2 linked regions of the Neodiprion lecontei genome follow. The protein of the gene in region 1 interacts with the protein of each later gene in a pairwise test. Links are inferred from orthologs where the notes say so. Each region holds a gene or a part of one and is shown in the gene's direction. Other genes may lie near its edges.

What was found.
Region 2: the proteins of histone acetyltransferase KAT2A (region 1) and transcriptional adapter 2-alpha interact in a two-hybrid assay, tested with the Drosophila melanogaster proteins (2 studies listed by BioGRID). The link is inferred for Neodiprion lecontei from reciprocal best matches to the Drosophila melanogaster genes Gcn5 and Ada2a.

What each region holds. Positions count from the first base shown.
Region 1 is NC_060263.1:36,087,236-36,098,463, reverse strand, and holds histone acetyltransferase KAT2A, read left to right. Parts: upstream 1-1,782; 5' UTR 1,783-1,877; intron 1,878-2,490; 5' UTR 2,491-2,517; coding exon 2,518-3,488; intron 3,489-3,602; coding exon 3,603-4,163; intron 4,164-4,241; coding exon 4,242-4,966; intron 4,967-5,038; coding exon 5,039-5,232; 3' UTR 5,233-6,100; downstream 6,101-11,228. Other genes in the region: protein shuttle craft, read right to left, coding at 86-1,474, 6,783-6,801; actin-5C, read left to right, coding at 8,061-8,186, 8,313-8,691, 9,018-9,253, 9,317-9,706.
Region 2 is NC_060263.1:41,255,616-41,265,152, forward strand, and holds transcriptional adapter 2-alpha, read left to right. Parts: upstream 1-4,760; 5' UTR 4,761-4,853; coding exon 4,854-4,917; intron 4,918-5,113; coding exon 5,114-6,492; 3' UTR 6,493-7,226; downstream 7,227-9,537. UniProt on the Drosophila melanogaster protein: Component of the histone acetyltransferase (HAT) complex ATAC; predominantly involved in acetylation of histone H4, including at Lys-6 (H4K5ac) and Lys-13 (H4K12ac).

The sequences.
Region 1 (11,228 bases):
GAAAAAAATGAGTGTAAGTAATTTCCAGATATGACACACTGTAAAATAAATGTCATCCCAAAAGTAAGGGTGATTGATCTCTTACCTTTCTCCGATCTTTTGTTACTCAATCGCTTCATGTTACTTCCTCCTTTGACATCTTCGTCATTCTTGTATCGCCAATTTTCAATCTCTTTATCCCTGATACCTTTTGAATTATCCTTATCCTTAGATTTATCCTTGTCTCTGCTCCGTTCCCCTCTTTCCTCTCTTTCATAATTATTTTTGTATCCATTGTAATCTGCATAGCTAGTTTTCTTCTCCCTGATCCCAGATTCATACTTATCACTGTATCTGTCTCTTTTATCACGATACCGTTCTCCACGATCTTCATTAAAATATCTTCTAACACTCTTACCACCCGTTTGACTGTACTTCATCTCAGAATTGTGACTAGAATAATTTTGATCGCCGTAATACTTGGCTGAACCACCAGATTGTCGGGTATTATCATGTCTAGAGGTTTTATAGTGCTTATTAACAGTCCCCTCCACAGATTGAGTTGCGTCTTCTTCACCGTGATATGAACCGTTTTCAAAATTTTCTCGAACACTGGAATTACCTGTCCATTTTCTTCTATCGCTATCCTTATCGCTCGTATAATTAGAACTATTATCCGAATAATGTCTGGTGTTAGAATACCTATCATTTTGGAATCTGCGATTCTTCGGATTCTGATTCCTGACAGAATTCTTAAACAAATTGGTATTTTGATATTGAGCATCCTGAGTATCCCTCTGCTTATAACTATCGCCTTTTTTATTTGCATCATATTTCCTATCCTTCTTATCTCGCTTATTTCTAATATCCACATGGTCAACTTTCGGCATGTTCGAATCGTGGAAGGTCAAATTTCCCGAATGCTGAGTTGAGGAATCATAATTTTCCAGCATAATTCTGCCATTATTTTCACTACTACTGGCAGACGAGTTTGTCCCAGCTGTTTGCAGCGCCTTCAAGGAGCTAGGTATAAACTCACCAGCGGTTGCATGCAGGTTTGAATTCTCAACGACACTGGGATCAATCGTTTGCTGAGGGACAAACGGTAATTTACCGTGGTAATTCTTTTTCTTAAGTTTGTCATTCGGGTTCCCACTTTTGCATTTGAATGGCGGAAGATTAAGCTGCGATCTATTGTTCTCAAAGAAAGGCTGTGGCCTTGCATACTGAGTACCACCAGCCATTTGCGGATCCTGATAGGCATTGGCTAAGTGCTGTTGACCCAGGTTCGAGATACTCGGCTGCACGTTGGAGCCATTCTCAGGATAATAGCTCCAGTTGCGCGCCACGTTCCCCTGGTCCGAATACCGATGAAAATTTGGGTCCTCAGGCCCATAATAAGACCCATCCCAGCTTGCCATGGCAATGCCGCAATGGCAAAGGGACTTCCCCGGCTTCTGACTCCACCAGAGGGTGGCTTGCCTCCAACGACTTTCTGGAAATGAGTTGAAGGATTGCAAACTTCAAGAGTGGGGCAATATGGTGCAATGATCTGGTTATAAGCTGATCTCAAACGAACTAACCAAACTCCATAGTTTAACCAATATCTTTTAACGGAGTAAATTTACGCACATACCTGATAAAATGCGTCGTCGACTTGTGCGCGGGTTAGTTAAGGGTGTTTGGGGTATTTCAATCCGACGACTAGCGCAGCGTTGCGAATATTGATAAGGAAAGTAAGGTGGAATATTTTTACTTATTTCTTACCAGCGTTAAATCAAAATTAAAAGTAGGCAAACGCTCCGTGCGAATCACTTGAGAACGTGGCGTTCGGACGAACTAAAATCACGTAACAAATGGAGGCGCAGCGTTACAATAATATGTGAACGGAAGCTTTGGTAAATAAACATATTACAATTCATTATTGTTCTTGTCGTAAATTTAGACCTATTTATCATACATGTTTAATTATCCGCACTTGGAATACCCTCGACGTGGTGATGATAAATGATTAAATAATCCCTACTTGAGAGTATTTTTTTTCTCAGCTGTACGCACAACCCACAGCCATCGATATTTGCGCGAAAAATTAAAACTGTCAAAAAGGACATTGCGCCAACGATAATTATACTCATCGGGTATCTCACGAATGAAAATCTCGGTTATTTCGTAACGATTTTGCGTCGCATTGACTTCAATTTCAAATTCACATCACGTACTTTGTCTCAATGTTTTGTCAACAATTTACCCGGCCTGCGTAACCTTGAATTTACCCTTCTCGCAAAGTTCAAAATTCAATTTTCCTTCAATGAGTAGAGTCGATAACCAGCTATTTCTTGGTAAAAAATCAGTAATTGATTTTTAATTCATAGATACGATAATTTCTGATTTGAATATATAATCCAAAGTAATACACATTTTAATTCCCACTGATAATTCATTATACAAATCTGGGAAATCAAGAAACATGCTATTGAACATAAACATTGTCATAAATTTGATATTTTTCAGGTGTAGTAATTTTAGAAAATCATTTCAATGGATGAAACTACCAGAACCATGTCAGGTATGTCGTCTGAGGATCGAGTGCAGTCCGTGACAAGTACATCTCAAAACCTCGTGAGCAGTAACAGCGCAGAGTCAAGTTCGCCACGAGGTACGGACCAAGCTAGTCGCCAGAACAACTTGCAGAGGATTCAGCAACGCAAACATCAAGTTTTTAATTGGCCCCAGTTAAAAAAGCTATTGAAACTGGCAAATTACAGCTCATGCCAAGCCGACGAGTGCAAATGCAACGGATGGAAGAACGCTCAACCATTGACTAAGTGTCCAAAGAATGACATGCAGCAACCAGCTGCTAACTTTTCCGATCCATGTCGAAGCTGCACCCATGTGCTTGAAAAGCATATCACACATCTGCAATCCCAAAGCGATGACGAAATTAACAAACTACTCGGCATGGTCATCGATGTTGATAACATTTTCATGGGAATGCACAGGGAGGAGGATCCGGATACAAAAAAAGTCTATTACTATTTATTTAAACTTTTGCGAAAATGTATCCTGTCTATGACTAAACCGACAATAGAGGGACCTCTGGGTCAGCCGCCTTTTGAGAGGCCTAGCATAGCCAAGGCTATAACTAATTTTGTGCTCTACAAATTTGGCCATTTATCCCAACGCGAATGGCAAGCGATGTACGATTTAGCCAAGATGTTTTTGCACTGTTTAAATCATTGGAATTTCGAGACTCCAAGTGCTAGAAGAACTGCTGGTAACGCCGAAGAAGCACCCGCATATAAAATAAACTACACACGCTGGCTTGTCTTTTGTCATGTACCAGCTTTCTGCGATTCTTTACCACATTACGATACTACACTCGTATTTGGAAGAACTTTACTTCAAGCTGTATTCAAATCAGTCTGCAGACAACTCATGGACAAATGTCATAGCGAACGAGACAGAATGTCACCTGAAAAGAGAGTTCTAGTCCTGACGCACTTTCCCAAGTATGTGTAACGTTTTTCCTTAAATCTTAGATTTATAACAGACAGAAACTTTCGATTGTACTAATTCCAAATGTATATTCCAAATCACTACATGCCACATTTTCTGATCCACAGGTTTTTATCTATGCTAGAAGTAGAAATATACTCTGATGGCTCTCCTATATGGGATCCAGAGTTCAAACAAGTACCGCCATCACATTTACAAGCTGCCTTAGAATCAAAGGGGAATCACTCACGACGGCCTGGTGAATTCGAGAAAATCAGTGTAGCGCACAATGACAAAGACAATTATACGACAATAAATATAAGCCCAGGGCTAAAAAAACTTCCTGAAAAACGATCTCACTCAGAGGGAAGGCCTGATTTGAAAAGACGTAAAAATGAAGAAGCTTTCGAAGACTTGCCGGAAGAAACTGTAGCAGAAATTGTAGCGACGATAAATGATCCTAACTACATGTGCGGACCTGACGCAGTCTTCCCACCAAATGTGCCGAGAGACGAAACTGCAAAAATTGAGGAAAGTCGAAAGATTATAGAGTTCCATGTCATTGGAAACAGCCTGACACAACCAGTATCGAAGCAAACTATGCTCTGGTTGATAGGATTACACAACGTTTTCAGTCACCAATTACCCAGAATGCCAAAAGAATATATATCTCAACTAGTCTTCGATCCGTGAGTAATTCTTATCTCTTTTACAAAACTTTCAAGTTTCATTCTTACTTCTGGTTCTCTTTTAATATCTTTAAACAGAAAACATAAAACTTTGGCGCTTATCAAAGATGGTAGGCCTATTGGTGGAATTTGTTTCCGAATGTTTGCAACCCAAGGATTTACGGAAATCGTATTTTGCGCTGTGACAAGTCAAGAGCAAGTCAAAGGATACGGTACACACTTGATGAACATGCTCAAGGATTATCATATAAAAAACAATATACTGCACTTTTTAACGTTTGCTGATGAATTTGCGATCGGGTACTTCAAGAAGCAGGGTTTTAGCAAGGACATAAAAATGTCTAGACCCATGTACCAAGGGTATATCAAAGACTACGAAGGTGCTACTCTGATGCACTGTGAACTTAACGCTAAAATTGTGTACACAGAATTCACTGCAGTTATAAGAAAACAGAAAGAAATAATCAAAAAATTGATATATCAAAGGCAACAAGAAATACAAAAGGTGCATCCTGGCCTGACCTGCTTCAAAGAGGGTGTGCGAGGAATTCCTGTAGAATCTATCCCAGGAATACGGGAAACTGGATGGAAAAGTTATGCTCAAACAAGAACGAGAGGCGTCGCGAAAGGAACGCAGGGACCAGAGCCAATGGAGGCTTGTTTGGATGTGACAGATTCATTATACAACGCCTTAAAAAGTGTTTTGAATACTGTGAAAAATAATAGCACTGCATGGCCGTTCCTAAAGCCTGTTGATAAAAATGATGTCCCTGATTATTATGATCACATCAAATATCCAATGGGTAAATATGTTACATATGCATCGATTATTGTAATAAAGATAATGATGATTAATGATTTTGTCATATTTTCAGACTTAAAAACTATGAGCGACCGTCTTAAGGCCAGATATTATGTAACTCGGCGATTGTTTATAGCTGATATGACACGAATATTTACAAATTGTCGATTGTACAACAGCCCGGATACGGAATATTATAGATGTGCCAATGCGTTGGAAAAATATTTTCAAACAAGAATGAAGGAAATAGGTCTTTGGGATAAATAATGATGACTTCATCAAGTTTAGAGTGATTGTTCCCCATTTATTCTACAGCATCGTATTAATTATGCAGTGCAAACTCATTGATATTCACCTAACTGATGGCTGAGTACTGATTTTATGACGCGTTGTGCTTTATGCACTAAACACTTTTATTATTTATTATGCTAAACTATGAGTTACCCGATGTATGCTATTGCGTACTATGATACTTAGGAGAAAATCGTTTTCAAATGAATACGGTTTCGAAAATCTGCGTTAATTAATTTGTCAATGACTTGTGTAGGTAAATATTTCGGGTTTCAAAAGGATGTAAAACATATGTTTAATCTGAGTTGTTCTTAGAGCTAGGGGCCTCACAAAGTAAAGAACTACGAAAATGTGATTCCACAATTTGCCGTCTGTATATATTATCATAAATTGGAGAATAATTTGAATTAAGATTAGCTACTGATTAGTTCAATTTCGATTTAAGCAATGTTGGTCAGGTGCTGCAAGTGAATAATCCATGGATATACATACTTATGTATATGTAGTATACATACAATATATGTTTAAATAAAGATAACTGACTTTTGTAAATATATTTCTATCGATTAAATGACAATTTGGAAATTCCTTAAAAGACACATTTACGGCAGGAGAGAGAAATTCATATAATCAGTCCCAGGAATTTTCGTATGAATCGATGTACAACTCAGGTTTTGAATACTATTGCCGAAAAAATTGACTGAGTAAAACATTCAAGAATTTACTTGGGCACGGTATTTTCAACCATTGCATTGGAGTTCAACTACATTGCTTCATGGTCTAATTAATGTAACTAGCCAAATAGGTAATTAATTAATGTAATGCAGTGATTATAATAATGCCTCTCTTCATGGTCAGTCTCTGGAACACTGCTTTTCTCAAGTTCACGATAGCAGTCATGATATGTTGCTTGAATAAAACTTTCCTACTGCTCGTGATTCATTCATTATTTAGACGAAATAAACGAATTTCTTTTATTATTATCGCAAATTTGTATTCGAGTAATAGATATAAAAAGAAAGTCAAATTATTCTATTGTGGTCAGCAATGGGTTCCAATTACTTTGAGAAAGTTTCTTATCTCTTTCTGGTAGGAAGATTTATAATACTCTTGCATTTTTTGCGTTTCTGAAACAGATTCTGAACAGATGTTACAAGTCTTGGATATTTTTTTTTTCCAGTATTCGAAAAAAAATTTTATAACTTTCTACAAAAAACTGAAAACTAGTTTTGGAGTTTTAAAAAGTTTATGCAGAAAAATTGTCAGATCACTTTGTGCAAATATGCAGGTTTTCGCGTATCTATAACATAAATCGAACCGGATGTTTGAAGAAGATATATAATGCAGATGTATCTTCCTGGCACCGGGGAATACCCAACTTAATTTTATACTTTTATAACAATAGTGATTTTTCGAGACAATAGTATCGTGTTTTATCAACAAAGCTCATGCTGTTATCATTGTTTCACAGCAATGGGAAACTCTGCCACGCAACCGATGAAACTGAGTTCTATCTACATACTTACCATATTTTAACAAGCACATATGTCACAGAAATAGCAATTATCAGCATTGTCAAATGACGTTAGTCACTAAATTAGTACTGATATGACTTCTGATACAATTATAGCAGGTAGAACAGTTAACGAGATGGTTGGAGGGCGTCAGATGTTATCATGAACTTGAAATCAGAAAGAACTTTACATACCAGAATTTATGAAACGTAATCGTATTTAGTAACTCAGTATTGAAACTGACACCAATTGTTCTCTTTGAAATTTCACCTCCTTCATAAGCTGACAATAGCAATAAGTCTACCAGATTCAAGGTCATTATCGCGAATAGTCATCAATCAGCTTGCCCATCTTCTACATGTGGTGCAATATCTGTAAACAGTGAATGAAAACAGAATAAAGAATTTTTTTCAGTTTAGTACAGATTGATATGATCAATTTGTAGAAGATAATGATAAATGGATGAAAAATAATAGCAATAACTTTGTTACATTGAAACGCTTTATCTCAAATATGTGAAGTGAATCCGATAAATTTCTCTTTACACCCAGTAGGTGAAGCAGGGAAAGAAAATATTCTGCATGCTCTGGTTGCTTCAGGCACTGTGCGTTCAATCAGTGCGATATGGTAAAGTGCAATTAACTAATTGGTGCATATACTATTTTGTACTTTTTTAAAGATAGTCGTTGGGATCCCTATCAATTTTGTGTCACATCTACTATTGCATCATTACGAAAATATGGTAGTAAGACAGTCAAATTTAATAGTGTTTATAATTATTTTCTAGTTGTACAGCAGCTTCAGCAACGATAATTCATTTTTTCAAATAATTCATCAATCAACTGCAACTTAACTTACAGCTTTTGACTACTAAGCAATTTTTCAAATAACAATCATACAATTGTACACCAGTTGCAGTGAACAAAACAGAAATGAATCTTTTTACACAATTTAATTCGCGCTTATGGAAAATAATTGTTCGTCACATAAGTATGCTGAAAATGATGATCCTGATATTTGGAGCATACAAGAATCAAGAGACAGGATGAGACCTGATTACAGCAACAGCATTTGAGCAGGAGAAGGGAGATCGTATAAAACTCCTTTCTCAACTGCAATTCCGCACTCTACGAGAGACTAACATACCACAAGGATCGTGTACTGTCTAGTCAGTTGGTTTCATTAGTCCCAAACAAACGCGATGTAAGTTGAGAAGTATGTTTTTTGACTTTTTAACTGACATTCCCAGAGTCTCACTAAAACGTTATCTATATATTCTAGTGTTTTAAAATGTGTGACGACGATGTGGCTGCACTTGTTGTCGACAATGGATCAGGCATGTGCAAAGCAGGATTCGCCGGAGATGATGCTCCAAGGGCTGTTTTTCCATCGATCGTTGGAAAACCCCGATACCAGGTAACATTGGTCTGCCAATACTTCACAGTAGTATTCAAATTCAAATAGTCTACATCATATCAAATGATTCGACTGTAATGTTGCACATTTTTGTCTATTCATGAACAACTATTACAATATTTCCAGGGTATAATGGTCGGTATGGGACAAAAAGATAGTTACGTCGGAGATGAGGCTCAAAGTAAGAGAGGGGTACTCACAGTAAGATATCCTATCGAACATGGTATTGTTACAAATTGGGATGATATGGAAAAAATTTGGCATCATACATTCTACAACGAACTCAGAATCGCCCCGGAAGAACATCCTGTACTTCTCACAGAAGCCCCATTAAATCCGAAAACAAATCGCGAAAAAATGACACAGATCATGTTCGAAACTTTCAACTCACCAGCCATGTACGTCGCTATCCAAGCTGTCCTATCTCTGTACGCGTCAGGAAGGACCACAGGCATAGTGTTGGATAGCGGAGATGGTGTATCGCATACGGTCCCTATTTACGAGGGTAAGAAGAAGTGTTTAGTCATAGTTACATAAACCAAATTACAATTTCAACATTTTTTTCAATGTCATTGTAATTCTTAACTTTCTAAATCAGCATGTACAGTAATTTAAAATTATCTTCTATAACGTTTAGATTCTATTATAAGATGTAATCCAATGTGATCGTTGCCATTATAAAAGGAAGGTAGTATCAAGAGCAATAATAGTTGGTGTAGCGCCATTGGCTTAGAGTTATAATGTCGATCACGAGTAATGCTAGTTCTTACATCTTAATATTAGTTTGTGTCGATATAAATGTTGCAATGAATAACTTGCGTTGTAATACAGGATATGCTCTGCCACATGCAATTTTACGTTTGGACTTGGCTGGGCGCGATCTAACCGATTATCTGATGAAAATTTTGACCGAAAGAGGATATTCCTTTACAACAACTGCTGAGAGGGAAATCGTGAGGGATATTAAGGAGAAACTTTGCTACATAGCTCTAGACTTTCAGCAGGAAATGGCAACAGCTGCTGGGTCCAGTGCTTTAGAAAAAAGTTACGAACTGCCCGACGGACAGGTAAGATAACGCCAGTATAGAAACTGCTGAAATAGAACACTGTTTTGGAACTCTATTTTCCAGGTCATAACAATCGGTAACGAACGTTTCCGTTGCCCGGAAGCAATGTTCCAACCAAGTTTCTTAGGGATGGAGGCATGTGGTATTCATGAAACTACGTATAATTCCATTATGAAATGTGACGTTGATATTCGTAAAGATCTCTATGCCAATTCTGTACTGTCTGGTGGCACAACAATGTATCCTGGAATCGCGGACAGAATGCAGAAGGAGATCACTGCTCTGGCTCCGTCGACTATGAAAATAAAGATAATTGCACCACCAGAAAGAAAGTATTCGGTATGGATCGGAGGATCTATTCTTGCAAGCTTGAGTACCTTCCAACAAATGTGGATATCTAAACAGGAATATGATGAATCAGGTGCATCTATTGTACATCGAAAATGTTTTTAAGGCTCAATTCTTCTTGTTTCGTTATCAATTGTACAGTGAAGTTAGCAATGTGTACCTAATAAAAATGTATATTATGTAAGAAAACCCAATTTCGAATGCAGCAGCGAATGACATTCTTGTATGAAAAATTCAATTGTTTATCCTGTTGCACATTGTTAATATCACTTTTTACTTGTGAAGAGGAAATATTTTCTTCATTAACGTAAGAAAACCTTGATTACCTTAACAAGGATTAGTTTTCGCAATTTTTATGTTAATCGACAGTTTGATTTATAACATCAGTAAAGTTTAATCTACTACAGGGAATCAAAAATTTGCTGCAATATTTTTTATTACTGAAATTTACACACCATATATTGTTACACGTCAACACCTCAGGTTATTATATTCATTGATTTCGATTTTATACAGCATATGAAAATTTGAACCAATAAACAATATGATAAAAAAAATAAAAATTTTATAAATTTATGCACAAGACCCGAATAATTTTTTTTTATGTATGGCTTTACTCTTTCATCATAGTTTACTCTATTTACATAACGTATAGATTGTATTTTATATTGAAACTAAATTAAAACTTGTTTTCTGATTAGTACATTATCATACTAACATAATTAACCACACCAGATAATCTGTATAGATTTTTTTAGATGTCAAGTTGTATGCTACGAATTTAACCCCCTCCCTTTAGTCAGGTCATGTTTTCTGTAGAACAGTAATGACCGATTTATTTGAGAATATTAAATAATTATATAGTCGAAATACTGATTCCAGTTTTTGTATGTTTTGAATACACGTCTTGATCATTGTTATAGTCATATAAGTTATGATTTTTGGTAGTTCAATGGTCCATTGTCCAATTGTCCTGTTAATCCAGTGTGAAAATTATAATCAGTTACATTAACACAGTTTGAGTCATTTAAACTTAGTTTGAGCCCAGCATTTCGATTTTTAACAATAAAAATTGCAAATCTTATTACTTGGGAAAAAAGTGCTTTAAAAGAATATGAGAGGTAAGACTTACAAGATAAAATTTGAACATGAATATTTCAGTTTTGTCGTCTTCGACTGACATTGCCAGAGGTAACAGTTGCAATCCCTCCTCATGATGTACCACTTTGAAATATTTTAATTATTGAAGACAACAAAAACAACCAACGTTATTAGAACTTGTATCATCCAATCTTATCACGTGTAAGAATATGGAATTATTGTTAAAAAATCCTCTGTAATGTTGATTTCATGATACTGGTTTATGATTTGGATGACTGTCGTTGTTTGCAGTAACTGGGAATTGAGTTTCATCATGAGAAATTATTATAAACATTACGTCTTAAAAGAATTTAAAGGGTGCGATAAATATTAAATTTTGTATTTTAATTAGTTACGACCATTTCTAACCACTAATCATTACATTATTTTCTCACGTGTATAGTATGCTAATACTATATAGTTTCATTTGTATCTTTTATACATGTGTTAAAGTTAAAAAAAAAAAAAAATGATACTGTAATAATTG
Region 2 (9,537 bases), about 5.2 Mb from region 1:
ATGTGAAGTCACGCAACTGCACAACGACAATTGGATTGCAACACTATTTTAGGAGATAACTTTGATTTACAACCGTGACCGCAGCTGTTTACAAACTTACGCCCAAACATCAAATATGTATTTCAAAGGGTCTCGTTTTTTATAAAACAAAATGAAAAATGAGAAAACAGAAAGACAACAACAGCAAAACCATACTTAATGGAACTGTAACGCGACAATATAAAGCATTGTTTTGATTCTATGACAGAAAATCGAAAGAAATCCAGAAATTTTTACGGTGTGTAAATGCAGATGCGAAAATTGTCTGTCCAAATACACAAATCATAGTCCAAGATCGTTTTTCATTCCGTGATATGAAAAAGAAGACTATGACTTTGGACAAAGGCTGTCTAATTAATTCACAGGTAGACGGATTGCTTATACCTTCAAGAATCAGATGGAAGAGAGGACAAGTCGTAATAAGTATGTGCATATCAATTTTATTGTCTACGGCGACGTCGCACCGCCCGATGCCGGTGAGTTCAATAAGTTGTCGTCGCGCTCTTGGCTCACACAATCGGCGAATCATGGCTACACGTGTAACCATGAACCATGGCATGAACGCCTGAAACTCTTTTGTGCCTGCTGCTGCATGTATGCGACAAAAGTTCTGCTCGTGCATTGCGAGGGGGATACAGGTTGGACGGTCTAAAATTACACCTCGTTTTAGGAGTTTTTTTTTTTTAAAGAAAATGAAAACGCGTAGAGGAACTGTAGTCAGAGGTCTTTATTATTTATAGTTTCAAGAACGTTTCAGAATTTTTTCATTGAAATTAATAACAAAATGGCGGCATGGCGCGTATAAGTAGCGAACGACTCCGAACTCGAGGACTTTTACGGTGGAGCATCTCCTGACATCACTGTCCAACTTGTATTGGCATGTAGAGAAAAATTTACAATTCAAAACACCTTTTCGGGTTTGAGCTCGTATCCCAAATGATAATAAAAAAAAATAAAAATATTTCAAATATATACGATGATAGAGAAAAAATTTCATCTTCCGACCAAAATATTGTTATAACAAATTTCATAAAAAAATTTTGGCATGACGTTGAAATTCGATAGACAAGTTTTAAATATTGTGTGAAAATTTCAAATCGATCGGATAAAATTGAGCGAGGAATTTGCGTCACCCACTTAAAAACGTGGTCGTTCGCTATTTATATGCGTCACGTCGCTATTTTATTAGCAATTTCAATGAAAAAATTCTCAAACGTTTTTGACACTATAAATAATAAAGCCCTCAAACTCAAATTGCTTTAAATGTCTTCATTTCCTCTAAAAAAAATCCTAAAAATAGGTATGATTTTAGATCCAAGCAGTAACCCCCCCCCCCCCCCCCCGAAGCTAACGAATCGTTAACTGCAAGTCCAAATGTCAAATATTTTAGAACGACGATGTTAAACCGAATTATTGAAGAGCAAGAATCACAATTCTATTTTCGATAAGAGTGAATTCGAATCGACTCGTTTTTCATTCGAAACGAATCATTCTAGCTAACCTGAAAGCTATAAAAATATGGAGTGATCCGTGTTTTAGTTAGTTAATTAAACTGCGCTCACCCTTCGACCGTCGTCAGCTTGTAGACGGTATCGAACATATTTTTCCTAGCAAAGCCGAATACCTGACGTCCTTCCGTTTTGCTATCGCCGACGTTGAATTCGTGAAAGTGAAGAGTTCGGGCGTTGGAAAAATCCGGCTGCTCAGGCGACGCCGTAATGTTCATAGTTTTCTATTACACTCTACGATTCGGTCGTTGATTATTCTAACGGATCAATGGAACGAGCCGATGTAGGCGCTAGAGAGGTAAGTCCGTCGTTTAATTTACGTCTGGTTCTCACTCAGAATCCACGATGAAATCCGACGTTACGACAGTTCTGTTGTTTACATATCGATGTCGAGAAGATAACGTTTCGCGTTTACCTTCATGAGGATGAATAAGACGCTGTATTTTATCGATGGATTCGTAAGAGAAATGATGAAGGGTTTTGACGACTGCGTTTTTGGTACACCAAGTTTTTCACTCATGCCAACTGTTGAACAAAATTTTATCTACAGCTTCGATTCTCAATATTCACTAGTAGTGGAATACTAAATACGGATTTCGGAGTCTTGTAACAGCGATTGACTTTGACAGTTTGTCAATCTGCGATCTGTCAAGTGCGAGTAAACAAGTTTTAATATTGCTCGGCTTCAGGCTTGCAAGGAGTTACCCTGGATGTTTACCGTTTGATTCAATCCAATTTGGAGCCTGTATTTTATGACACGAAGAATTCGATGCGTATAACAGTGTAAAGAAGAGAAGAGTCGTCAAGTCGTAAAGGTAGTGAATCCGAAGTGTAACATAGGTCTGAAACCAAAAAACTGCACAGATTCTTTATTCATTTCTTATTGATTTTCACTCACTGAAACCGGGAAAAATACTCAAAAGGTTCCATCACGTCAGGTTTTTTCTCCAACTCGTGTTTGTAGTTTCATTCGGAGTGAATATTCCGTTCAACTCGAAATCTGGTATCCTGTTCTTGATTCCAAAAATCTTATGCAAAAGTGATTTCTTACTTTCATTTAATATGTATCAGAGTGAGACTCAAGAATAAATACAAGCAGGGAAATAGAAAATGGAAAGCGGAAGCTCGTTCGGAGGTGTATCAAAGAGAAGAAGAAATGGTTTCGTAAGCAAAATGTATGAACACGGAATGTTGAGTACATTTGATAAAAAAATTGTTTGTTTAATTTCATGAGAAATATTCTTTAGTTCATTGCAATGAAATGGCGGTTTTTTCGTTATTGTTATGCTTTCTTTACGCGAACATCTTTTATTTTGCAAGCAAAAATATTGTACGCGTTGGAGGGAAATGGAAGTCATTTTTGGTTTCGGCACACTTGAAAACGCAATATTTATTAAAAACATGCCATGCAGCTGGAATAAGATATTTTTTTGGAGATTCGTGTGATTCACGCACCTGAGGTGGATGTGGCGAATCGGTCGGATTTGAAGATTATTTAACCGCATCATTTTTCTGCTCCTTTTGATCACCCTATAAATGAAGTCTTAATTCTCGACATTGTCACTCGTGCTACCGAATTCTTTCCCTGCAGATACGTTATCTGACATTCGAGGCAAGCACAAAGGCAACTACAATTATAAAATATACAACCTCGAATTTCGAGGCACGTACGGCATACTTGTAGGACGTCTAATCGTAAGAATATGTATGTCCACGACACGATGTACGAATGCTGCATCCGCAAAACCTGGATCACGTTATAATCGACTCTTTGTTTTTTTCACATGAGATGAATATCGAGTAAAGATTATAACCGAACTAAAAGAAGTTTTTGCTAGACACATGGCGAATTTTGATGGATAAATGCAGTTTTCAGACACGCAGTTACGACTCTAAATCTTGGTTAAAATATCCTTTGTATCATTTTATTTGACGTGAAATGTTGCTGGATGATGGTGGTTGCGTATTCGCAACTGTTTTATTGCAAAACTGAAATCGCCGGCATGTTTATTTCATTTCGGCAATAAAATTTTCTGGCTGTTGTAAAATTTTTTACGAATAATTATTGCATAACTGTACATCCCACTATTCAGCCGTTCTACGATATTTTACATCAAACTTTTAAATCCAACCGACAATTTTCGCACCACAAGATTAGAAACTACTATGCCGCTTTCGAAAATTCCTCTGAAATAATTCTGCACTAGAATGTTTGCATTGTACAATCGTACAATGTGAGTATATTAGACAGCAATTTATTGAGTTCGTGCGAGCTTGATTCGAGTTTCACGAACAAATTGGAATATGGTAATTGGCTTAGCATGCTGGAATTAATTATTCAGTTGCCGAATCATTTTATCGAATATTCTGTCGACACACAGCGTGACCTCAGGCCATTCTACATTTTATGTAGTATTTATAGGCCGTACAACCGTTGCATAGACTTTACGCGTTTCATGGATAAATATATATTATAAGGAATACATTGCGTCCCATGGAATTTAAGAAAGAAAATCTTTCGCTGAACTGGAACCAAAATTTGCCAAAATATTACCGATGCGAGCTATGAGGTATACTATACACCGTAAATTCTTGTGGTAAGCATAATTTTATATCCGTTCATCTCAGATATTCATTATGCTAAAAAATACTCGTTTGCATGTATAATATGTCCGACTATTATACATGAACATCGACCTACGCAGAATAATAATTTCGATGCATTTTGGTCAAGGCTTCGCCTGCCTTTGTTCCAGTTTCATTATCAAGGCGCGAAACCAAATCGCTGTATAAGATTCTTTATTCGTGGAAAAATTGTTGATTTCGGAAAAGTTATGAAATTTCATTAATAATTTTTTTCTTCCTTCATAGATATACTGGTAATTTCATAGACACCATTGTTGTCAGACACTTGCCAAGAAGTTTTGTTGAGGGTATGTGAATAATTGGAGTCCCATAATGTGAATATTCCGAATACTTAAATCTTTCAAACAATTCGAATCTTCGCACCATTCGAATGTAATTCAAATTATGCGATATTCAAATATTCGATTCAATTCGACTGTTGAATTCCATCGGTACGGTAGAATCTGCCTGACGAATTCGTTGCTAACTTCGTCGATAATCTGATGGACGAAGTAACGTTTTGACAGGCAAAAAACACGCTTTTCGTTAAGTGCTGCTATCTGTGAGAAGATCAGTCAACTCCTTCCAACGCTTATCGACGGTCACGCAATTGTGCATTGTGTGTAAACAGCGTTACCCGTGCAAAGTAGTTCGTTGTTATTTCTCAAAAAAACATAAGAAATGGCTAATACAAATGTAACGGATATGACTGAAGAGGATGCGGCAGACCTCCAGTTTCCAAAAGGTGAGAAAATTGTAAAATTTTCTTTGAAATTAGCGGCTACTTTTATAATTTCGCGAACAATTTCACGTCGCAGACATAACCTAAAACGATGGGGCTTGAAAGCATTGAATGGTATATGGAAAAAAAATACCGTTTTAAGCAACTAATTCAGTCATCCTTGAACAAAGGTCTCGAGTAACGGTTTTCTTACTTTCAGACTGTCCGTCGAGTTTTGCAAATGAGTCGGAACACGACGTCGATCTCGAGGTATCAGTCGTGAAGGAAGAAATCCTTACTTCTGACCCCGCGTGTTGTGTGTGTAAATCGACACTGTACGAGCCATACATAAAGTGCGCCGAGTGTTTGAACATAGAGATATGTCCCAACTGTTTTTCAAACGGTGCCGAAATTGAGGAACATAAAAATAACCACAATTACATTATAATAAAAAACGAATTCCCACTTATACCCGGTTCCAATTGGTCCGCCAAAGAGGAACTCGAACTTTTGGATGTCTTGCAAGAGTGTGGATTCGGCAATTGGGACGATATATCGAGGAGATTGCAGAACAAGTCGCCGGATGAGTGCAGGAAGCATTACCTGCACAATTTCATAGACAATCAAAATTTGCCTGGATTACCGAAGATAAAAGAAACCGAGGTCAGCTTGTTTGGCTCCGAGGCTGTACCGTACCTTTACAAACTTCAAGATCTTGAAGACCCGCCAAGATTTGCCAGCAATACGATAAACTACAAATTATTGGCCGGATACAATGCAGCTAGATCAGATTTCGAAGTAAATTTTGACAATTATGCTGAATTGTTAGTCTCAGATTTAAAATATGAAGAATTCTGTCCTGCCGACAAGCATTTGGAGCTTGGAAAAAACCTCCAAGTTGCAATAGTAAATGCCTACAATCACAGACTCAAAGAAAGGCAAAGGCGTAGAAAAATTGTACGTAATCATGGGCTTATTTCGTTTCGTAGAACCATATCATGGCTTCAAAGGTACGAATCGACTCTTACCAGACCTTTGATCGAAAGATTACTAACATTCATGCAACTTGTCAGTGGGATGGATTTTGATTACATAATCGAGGGTCTTCACCACGCTGGTGAACTAAGAAATTACATTAGAAGATTATTTGAATTTCGCCGAAATGGTATCACAAGGTTTCACTCAGTACCGATGTTTCAAAAGTTGGCCAAGCTGCGCATGGAACATGAAAAAGAGAGAAAGCAGTATATGAGTAATACAGAATATTGCTGGCAGACTGTATTACCTGGCTGCATTGTAAAGACTACACCTCATGTTGCACCAAATGTTCCCCAACGTAAAGCACCGCCGCCTCTTATTATTCAAGGGCTTCCTGGATACGACCGCCTTACTCCGGCTGAACGGGATCTTTGCTCAAATGCTCGTGTTATACCTGAAAGCTACTTTGACTTCAAAAACCTGTTGATAACAGAGAATAAAAAATGTGGGAGCTTGAGGCTTGCTCAAGCCAGAGTTCTTCTGAAGATTGATGTTAACAAGACGCGAAAAATATATGATTTCTTGGCAGAAGAAGGATACATCAATAAACCTGCTCAGTAAGACACGTCACTGGTCAATTGATTCGTCGCAGTTATATGTGAATATTTTTCGACATTTCAATGTCATTGTGATATTAACACTTTGTGACAGCCCATTTGACAAGTGAATTAATTTTTATGATTATGTGTTGGTTAAAATAGGCTAAGACTTCATTATTTATTACAATGTACAAACTCAAGTCTAAGTCCTTTGTTAGCTTGTTCTTTTATATACGAATAGAAATGTTACTATTTTTGTGAATTTATGCCAATTTTACTCTCAATGAACCCTCCAGTATTCCTATTCTGTTATTTTTAACATGACCGACAAAAAGGATTGAAATTTCACAAATTTCAATCATTTACCATCTATAGAGTTGGCATTAAAAATAAAAAGTCCATTCTACTAATTCAGACGAACAACCCATGCCAAACTAAAATTCAAAAACAAACCAATAACTGATGAATTTGTTTATCCACGTCTTCTTACATTCTGAAAGGTTTGAAGACGAATGGAACGTTCATACAATAACATTTATTCGTCCTTATTCCTCGCGTCATTATTTAATTCTATTTCAACCTACTGTGAAAAACTTTTTACGTGCTGGCAGAAGAAAAATACACGCAAGAAACGAATTTTGAAGAAATACTTGATCGCGTTTTTCACAGAATGAGCTTGCAATTAGAGAAACCTCTCTGCATTTGTTTCCAGGAGGAACTCGAAATAATTTTTTTTTTCGTACATCTATTACAATACTATAACTCGTTATTTGACAGAGTTTGAAAATGCTGAGACGCTGTTGATATCTGAGGTTTACATGCTGCTGGAACACAGGAAGGCACAGAACGAATCCGCAGAAGAGGAACAAGAGTTCTCCGAGGTTTTCATGAAGAGTTTGACGTACACTAATCGATTTCGCAAGTTCAGGAATAAGGAGACTATCGCTGCGGTTCGAAAGTATGTGCAGCAGATTGAGCTCATTGCAGTAGTAGAAGAGATTCATTTCGTTTCACATTCTGTGCAATTTGGTTTACTAATACGCGTTTAATTGTTTTTACAGTTTACTGATGCAGAAGAAGCTCCATAAATTTGAACTGGCTTCATTGGCGAATCTTTGCCCTGAAACACCTGAGGAGGCCAAAGCATTGATACCAAGTCTCGAAGGACGTTTGGAAGATGACGAAATGAGAACTATTCTGGAAGACATTCAGACCAAAAGATCACTACAGTACTAACTATGCAGTTTGCTTACAAATCCGACGGACATTTTACGTCGCACCCAATTAATTATATTCCACTTACCAGGCCATCTCAAATCGCGGCATACGTTCTCTGAGATCATCGATTGATTGTATATTGATTGTTGAACAAATGCTAGATGCAACTTTCATTCCTATAATGTACTCTGTTTATAAATATTGAAAACACGCATAACTTCCATCTCGTTTTTAACCCAGCCCAAAGTCGTTCCTTGGCACGATAACATGGATGTCAAAATAATTGACAGTATCCCTACTCTGAGGGTACTTTGAGAACGTATCATTGCGGTGGTTATTGAACACAACATCGCGAAACTACTAACTCCGAATAGTAGACGTAGTTCTGCTTCGGACGAAAGTAACGTCCTATAATTCTGCATACCCGAAACATCTTTTTTTCGTTATCTTTTACGGAGTAAACAGCTCTTGGGCTCTGGAAGGAAAGATGTAAGTTGGCGTGATGTAACGGCAGATAATATCATTACGGACTTCTCCGTTGTTGGAAAAATCATGCGTTACATCTCGTGTAAAGTTATTAAGCCTCTTCAGCTCTTATTCTGCATAACTGTAAATTCTTGTACATGCGACAGAGACGACCATCTCTATCGTATCATGGACATGGATGAAGGTTGTGCTGTCATTAGTTTCTGCGAAATGTCGTGTATGGATTTTTATTCTCTGTGAAGGGAACCACAACGCTATGGCGTCCGATACCCTCAATAATTACCCTTAACGGCCCAACGACGTCTACCCAGCCTGTTGTACACTGACCCTCTCGACTACGCGTTGCCGTTTAAAAGTGGGGTCAGAATCCAACACGCACGTATGGTGTACGGTGTACTTCACCTCCGGCCTGATTATCTACCGGCCCAGCACCGGTTTTCACCTGGCAGCCGGCAAGGCAGTCTGCATTCCGAGCATGGTTTTGCAAAATAATTTGCGATTAAGATCAATGATGATAGCTTGGTCGCTTGGTTACCGTTCGAAGGCGACGAAGATTCTTCACGACGTGCTCTAATGGGTGCCTCTTCGCGTCACTTATCAAGTTCGCCTCTCAATACAAATTCACAATGCGAATACCTGCACTTGTGAATGAACTATCAATTTCCTAGAAATAACGTTTTAATTGTTCAAGTTTTGTCACCTTTTGATCATATGATTATCGTGTGGGGCAGGAGTCGCAGTCCATCAGTTTTTTTTTTGCGGGTTGTAATGCGAATGACATCATTATTTCTTACCCGTATTTGGGGTTTTAGAGTTCTGTGGTTAGTTTTACAAGGGAGATTTCGTTGCAACCAATCAAGTTATCATCAGTCACACTTGGTTAAATAGTACCCTGCTCGATGTCTATTATTTTCTTTCTTTCTTCCCGAAACCGGGTATTTGGATACTAAACCTCCAACAGCAAATTTAACCACATGGGGGGTAAAGGAAGTTCTGCAGTGGTTTGAACGTGACAACCGTTGAGCATGTCAATATCAATGGACTCAATAATCAATTCGTAGCCTTCGTTAGATTCGTGGTCAGTGTTACTACGGGCACTTCTCCAGTGGATATGAGACGTGCGTTCAGCAGTATTTGGAGGGCCTTGGCCGCCGCACGATGTGCGGGCAATAACGACAGAAACGATGTCTGATTATGGCACTGGATAATCTCTGTCCATGAGGAGATTTTGTAACACATTTTCACGTGATAATTATTCAGTTTTGATGAAGTCGGTACTTCACGGCATTATTACTTTATCATTTTATTGGGCCATAAACCCATATGATTTACGACTTCTCGTGGCTGCCTCGCTTACGAAACG